Linked DNA regions of Macaca mulatta. The protein of the gene in region 1 purifies or fractionates together with the protein of each later gene. This does not show direct contact. Links are inferred from orthologs where the notes say so. Each region holds a gene or a part of one and is shown in the gene's direction. Other genes may lie near its edges.

Region 1 (2,798 bases):
AACTAAGAAGTTTTTCCTTCATCCTTTAAACTGCACAAGTCACTAGCACCTACCTGTAGCTCTGTGGTCATCACATCACCAAACTGAAGCCAGAAGTAAGTGCTGCTTTATTTATTTGCCCCCCAGTGTCGCCTCTATGACCTGCGGGCAGACAGGGAGGTCGCCATCTATTCCAAAGAGAGTATCATATTTGGAGCATCCAGCGTGGACTTCTCCCTCAGTGGTAAGATTTTATTTCAGAAACTTTTCCCGGGACTGTAAGACAGGACCGGAATGAAACTAGCGCTCCACCATCACTCAGTTCCTTTTCATTAACCGAGCTTCCTGTGGACCAGTATGCAAAATCATCCACATTTGCACCAGTTTTCCTCTGAGCTTCTGACCTCCCACTTTGCCCTGCTCCAGGCAACTTCCCCTAGCCCCATTCACTCCAGGGGGAGATGAAGGCTGTGTACTCACCTAATGCTGTCCTTCAAGGCAATGAAGTGTCAGAAATTCACTTCTGCAATGCTCTCAGGCATTTTTCTCCCCAGTCTTTGCTTCTCTTCATGCCCCAAAGGGAACTTTTCTCTAAGGTGGAGGTTAAGCAAGAGTCCCTTCTTGACCAGGCACTGTGACTCACGCCTATAATCCCAGCACGTTGGGAGGCCAAGGCAGGCGATCACTTGAGGTCAGGAGTTCGAAACCAGCCTGGCCAACACGGTGCAACCTTGTCTCTACTAAAAATACAAAACTTGGTTGGGCATGGTGGTGAATGCCTGTAATCCCAGCTACTCGGGAGGCTGAGGCAGGAGAATCACTTGAACCTGGGAAATGGAGCTTGCAGTGAGCTGAGATTGTGCCACTGCACTCCACCCTGGGCAGCAGAGCAAGACTCCGACTCAAAGGGAAAAAATAAAATGAGTCCCTTCTCAGTGCCGTGAATGAAGCTCATGGCTCCTTTGTGGGAAGTTGCTAGTGAAAAAGCATAGCTCCAGAAAGATCATGTCAAAGAAAGAAAGCAAAATGGAAAGTTAAAGCAGAGGTAACAGGCTGGCTACCTGGACCACTCGATTTCCCCAGACACATCCCTAGACTATCTGCACATGAAGTTCCTGCTACTGCCTGGAACATCTTTTCCCTGCCTTCTCTGCATGACTGACTCCTATTCAACCCTCAAGAGCCAGCTCAAATGTCACTTTAACTTTCTCTCTTTAAACAAGTTTTACAAGTTGTTAACTAGCAAATGACTAGAAATAATTTATTTGTGTCTGCAGTGCCCCCCTTGATCCCCCTTCCTCTCTGGTCCCATAGCACTTTACGTGTGTAAAGCACTTGCATTATGGCTGTTACCATGGGATGCTACAGTGATCTGTTCCTCTCGGCCCCACATCCTCCACCAGGGGCCGTGACTGTGCTTTCTCCCCTTTAAATCCTCAAGGCAAAGTACAGTGCCTAGGACTCAGTGGGCCTGAATCACTGCTTACTGAATGAGTGAGTGAGTGACAGTCATGTAATGAGAAACAGGAAGCAAGGAACTGGCTTAACAGCTATCATCTCACCCTGCTTCAAGGTCGCCTGCTGTTTGCTGGATACAATGATTACACTATCAACGTCTGGGATGTTCTCAAAGGGTCCCGGGTCTCCATCCTGTTTGGCCATGAAAACCGCGTTAGCACTCTACGAGTTTCCCCCGATGGGACTGCTTTCTGCTCAGGATCATGGGATCATACCCTCAGAGTAAGAGAGGTGGTTTTCTCTTTTCCTGTGTGTGAGAGGAGAGGGGAGGGGTGACGGGCCTTCTGAAGCAGAGGGAAGGCTTTCAGAGTAAGCTCAGGTGGGCCTGGTCAGCCTCGCGGAGCTCTCGTTTCCGCTCTGCCCACAGCCACAGGAGGAACTAGTTGCCTGGAGAGGTAGCGAGTGCCCCATCAATGCAGGTATTTTCGTATAGATTCGACAACTGCGTATCAGCCTGTAGGTGAGGGAATAGTTAGGCTTCATCCTCCAGAAAGTTCCTTTTGACCCTAAAAGTCTGATTCTTGTGATTCTAGCCTTTGGCAAACCACAGATAACCAGTCTTTTCTCCTATAGTATAGGGTTCTTATTACAATTATTAACCGTGTGATGACAAGGGTCACAGATCCAAGAGGCTGTGAAGCCCCTGAAATTATTACTTTTATCTTCCTTTTTTTTTTTTTTTTTTTTTAGTTTTCCTATAGCTTAATTTTGGAAGAGAAGCCCCTGAAATTATATATGCCAAATTTGGGGTGTATGCATTTTGTCCTCATGGCTTTCATTAAATTCTCAAAGATAGCTCCATAACCTTGTTGAGTGTTGGCTCCCCCAAAATACTACCAAAATAGCCTGTTTAAGCCGGGCGTGGTGGCTCACACCTGTAATTGTAGCACTTTGGGAGGCTGAGGTGGGCAGATCACTTGAGGTCAGGAGTTCCAGACCAGCCTGGGCAACATGGTGAAACCCCGTCTCTACTAAAAATACAAAAATCAGCCAGGCGTGGTGGCAGGCACCTGTAGTCCCAGCTACTCGGGAGGCTGAGGCAGGAGAATCGCTTGAACCCAGGAGGCAGAGGTTGCAGTTAGCCGAGATCATCCCACTGCACTCCAGCCTGGGCAACAGAGCAAGACTCTGTCTCAAAAAAAAAAAAAAAAAAGATGCCCATTCATAGAGCAAAGCTAAATTGATTGCTTACCTCAGTGTGGAACATCAAGAATTGGTAGAGGTGTAGTGGCATCTCAGAAGAGGAGGACAAAGGCATGCACGAGGTTTTTTTGGTCTGGTTTAAGGCAGGTCTTTGTTGG
Region 2 (4,179 bases), about 96 Mb from region 1:
ATTCCCCTTCCCCCATCTCATGTTTAATCTGTAGCTTCCCCAAAGTACCTGGTGTTAGTACTGGGGGGAGAATGACTCACACGTTGAATAAATTGTTATTAAGGCATCCGGGTTCAGTTGCGAACATACTAATAGTGAGGAATCGGAAAACCAAGTACTGGTGAGGGTTTGGCTGCTGACTGCCGAAATCACTTACTGAATGTGAGGCCCAATGTCCTCTAAAAATAATAAGAGTTATTATGTGCCGAATACTCCCTATGTCCCCAGAACTATTAGCATTTTGTATACCATCTCATTTAATCCTCAGGTTTCCACTGTAGAGCATGGCTATCATCAACTACATTTTGCAGATGAGGAAACTGAGGCACATAGACGTTAAATAATTTGCCCAAGTTCATACAGTCAGTAATGGCAACGGATTGAAATTCTGGCAGACAAACAGCTTGCAGTCTCTACCCTTGTGTGTTCCACGATATTACCTCCTAAGATGAAGGGAAGGGACTGGAGGATCGCGAGGGTCCTTTCAGCCCTGCTAGTGTGTGGGGGATGGGGAGAGGGATATTCAGTTTCTCTGTTGGGAATGTGTAGCATTCAGCACCACCTCATTCCTTCCCATCTATGAGAATCTTTTGGAAATAGTCCTCACTGTTAGGCCTATAGGTAGCATCGCCAAACTTGGTTTAGTTCCCGTGCCCCATAAGAATACTTATCAGGCCATTCTTTTCTGAGCATGTGGGTTAAGTAAGATCTCAGTGGTAGTGGGACCTTGGAGAAATGAAGCATCTGAAATGTTGGCCACTGAGAAAAATGCTGCAGTGAGAAGCTGCAAGCTGCAAGCTGCAAGCTCCCAGCTAGCTGGCTTGATGGGGACCACAGTAAATCAGGAGGAACAGTGGAGGCTGGTGTGGGATCTTGGGGGCCAGAACCTGACCAGGGGATGTTGACCCAAAAAAGCAGCAGCAGCAGTAGCAACAACAACAGCAAGAACAACAATAGCTACAAGCCAAGTTCAGGCTAAAAAAGCAGGCAGTGTGCCAGGAAGGGGGCCGACTGAGCGGTGTGTGGAAGCTGTCGCGGAGGTGACGGTGGGGCCATGAGAAAAGGGGAAGGAAGGAACAGACAGCACCAGAGGGACTTGAACAAAGGGAGAAGGGGGATTAAAGTCAAATCACTGTCAGCAGCCCAGGAGCAGACAAAACCACCAGAGTAAGCCCTGAAATGGAAATGAGAGGGAAAAGAAGCAAGCCGCTAACAGCTACCAAGAAGAGGAGGAAGTGGGAGATGCGCTGCTTCCTGTAGAGAGAACGTTGATTGAAGACAAAGCTGGGTGGGGACTAGTCCCTGGGCTGCAGCCGCCGCTACACATACTCACAACGCTGCCGCCGCGCTCCGTGGGCAACTCCTACTACTGCTGGGCTGGGCTGGGCTGGGCTGCGCCGGAGCTCTCCTGCACAGATCAGCTCCGGAGACAGGGGAAAACCACACTCCTCTGACCAAGCCTCGGGAGCTAAGGTAAAGGAAACGTTTTCCATGTTGCTCGTTTTTAATTGAGAAAAATGACCGTCGCCTGTGGTTTTAAGGTCCGATTTCTAAGGGATGATAAAGACATCGCTTCAAGACTAGGGGAAATGATTAGATTCTTTTGGAAGGGTCTTTGAGAACGACCACATTTATGACACATTTGATTAAAAAAAACCCTCATCATCAGTGCTTAGATTTGATGACTCGACAGGGCAACATGCTAAATACAAGAAGCTGTTTGTATAGTTCTCTCGGAAGAAAACCAGGGCTGAGTCGAAATCCATCTGGGGCTGTGAAGCCGTGGTCTGGTCATCGGAGCCTTGCAGTCCCCTTGTTTTAGGGGAGTAAGTGGTGTAAAATATTAATTGCATTCTCTTTCTTACACATTGCACTGGGATGTCTTCTGATCTGCAAAAATAATGGCTGTGATTTCGCTTTTGGGGGAGTTAAATTCTTTTGTACTTAGATTTTGCCAACAAAGGCTCGAATTGCGTATGTGAGGGGCAGTATTTACCATTAAAAAAACAGTGTCTTCCTCCCTTAGCTTGTGCAGCTGCTTTCAGGATAACCTCAGGCACAGCTATCATTTGCCAGTAGGTCTTATCCTAAAGTTGCATCCTTGTTCAAAGGAGTGTGGCGGGTTTAAGGCCAGTAACTTGTCCAGAATCAGATACTAGTATATGTATGGATTTTATGTTTATATGCGTTTTCTTCACCTCTAGGTCAAGGTGCATGCTAGCCTCGGTGAGGGACAAAATAAAAAAGTGCAGCTGGGTTCTTTCCTTACACGAATATGCTGTAGATAGACGGAAGTAGTAAAACCAGAACATGATTTTTATTCTTTGATTTTCTTGAGCCAAGAATGTTCTTAATGAGAGCTTGGGTCTATGGCTTGTTCATATTTATGAATGATATGTAAAAGTACACTAAATAGGTCTGGCAGATGAGAACTGAGATTGTGAGATTCCTCTGACAGGATATATAGGTGAGTTTAATACCCTGGTATAGCACGATTTAAAGAATTAAGCTATTTTTTTAATCTTCAACAGAAAGTACAGTTAAGCAGTAAGTAGTTATTGATAAAAGGGGTTTTTTTTCTAGAGTTTCTATAATGAAAGGAGATAATTTTTCAAAAGAAAGAGGAAAAAACTGCTTATATTGGAGTAAAAATAACAAAAATGTCAATATTTTGACACTCACAAATTCTTGAAACATAGGTTCTTAAATACCAAATATGCTAGTTGAGAGGGCATGTATATATGTATCTCCTCGTTTATCATCATTCTCACTTGTGAAGAGCTATAGGGCTGTTTTTAATGCTATCTTTATGAAATCGATATGGCTTCTCAAAATCTGTGGAGTAGCAGCACATTTTGAGAGATGGGAAGCTTTCATAGCTACTAAAGAAAAAAAATGTCTATTTCTCAGAGGTTTTTTGCTCATTAAAGTAAACCTGCACCGTGCCTAAGAGACAAAGTACTGCTGGTATTGAAACCATGGAACTCCTTGAAGGATTTACTGAATTTAATCAAACTTGTGGGCAAAACAAGTCGTGACATGGATTTTGCAGTTCGGCTTCCTATTTGCATCCTAAAGGGAAATATGTAAAGATCATCTTCTTAGAGAGGAGACCTAGGGTAGATCTTAGATCCAGAATGACCCAGTGGAGTTCTAGAATCAAGCTGTACATCATGAAATGAAGTAAAAAGTTGGTAACCTGAGCTGCATGGATGAGGACAGGCTTACCCTTTGATACTTACTCCTCTGCAGGCTGTATTCACTAGATAATGCCAACACCCTGCTTTGTTTGGGGAGGCACAGACAATCTGCATTACTCTTCTGTGTGTGTTTCACACATGAGTAAGAAAATGAAACCTTGCCCGACGGGCATAGTAGAGTCAAGAGGGCCCTGCTATCTTTCTGAAAACAACTAAGAGGTGCCTATTTTCTGCACAGCACAAAACATTTCTTAATTGTTAAATTCCAGCTTGAAGCAGAACATTAGTGAGTAACAGCAGATCAGTAACTATGATGGTAGAATGTTTAGCAAAAAGATGAATATGCTTCTATGCTGTAAAATGAAACTATTTCCACTTATTCTGGCCATATGGAATATTGAAAGACATAATGATTTTTCTTGGGGTATTCACTGGCTGTTGAGGAGTAGACCAACACTGAAATTTTAATTGTACTATTTTTTTTTTTTCTGCCATATGGCCAATGGCTGAATGGAAACATGACTCCATTATTTCATGGCCAGCCTTGGGCCTCATATGGTGGGCATGTAGTGAATATGTTTGGTTGACTGACTTTGTTTAGCCTGCTTCAGAAAGCAAGCCCAACTTTTAAGTCTAAAAGCTGTATAGTCAAAGTAGAAAGCCTGTTCATAAAAGACTTCTGTGGGTAGGAGAAAACACTGTGGAGTGAAAAGAACACAGGCTTTGGAGGCAGACAGATCTGCCTTTGAAACCTATCACTGGTTCTTACTACTTAACTTGGTACATTAACTTAGGAACCTCAGTTTCCTCATTGTAAAGAAGGGCTAATAATACATAATCAAAGTTTTTCTTTTGTTTTGTTTTTGCTTTTGTGTGCGGATAAGTGAGTGCTTTCTACATAGAAGATACTCAAATGTTATTTTTTCTTCCTTGGTGACAT

Evidence for each region. The genes of interacting proteins can lie anywhere in the genome.
Region 2: the proteins of GNB5 (region 1) and GNG2 purify together in Homo sapiens (affinity purification with western blotting; 4 studies listed by BioGRID and IntAct, with this or other methods). This does not show direct contact. The link is inferred for Macaca mulatta from reciprocal best matches to the Homo sapiens genes GNB5 and GNG2.

The regions. Positions count from the first base shown.
Region 1 is NC_133412.1:29,420,446-29,423,243, reverse strand, and holds part of GNB5 (guanine nucleotide-binding protein subunit beta-5), read left to right. Parts: intron 1-126; coding exon 127-223; intron 224-1,552; coding exon 1,553-1,719; intron 1,720-2,798. UniProt on the Homo sapiens protein: Enhances GTPase-activating protein (GAP) activity of regulator of G protein signaling (RGS) proteins, such as RGS7 and RGS9, hence involved in the termination of the signaling initiated by the G protein coupled receptors (GPCRs) by accelerating the GTP hydrolysis on the G-alpha subunits, thereby promoting their inactivation.
Region 2 is NC_133412.1:125,049,485-125,053,663, forward strand, and holds the start of GNG2 (guanine nucleotide-binding protein G(I)/G(S)/G(O) subunit gamma-2), read left to right. Parts: upstream 1-1,379; 5' UTR 1,380-1,512; intron 1,513-4,179. UniProt on the Homo sapiens protein: Guanine nucleotide-binding proteins (G proteins) are involved as a modulator or transducer in various transmembrane signaling systems.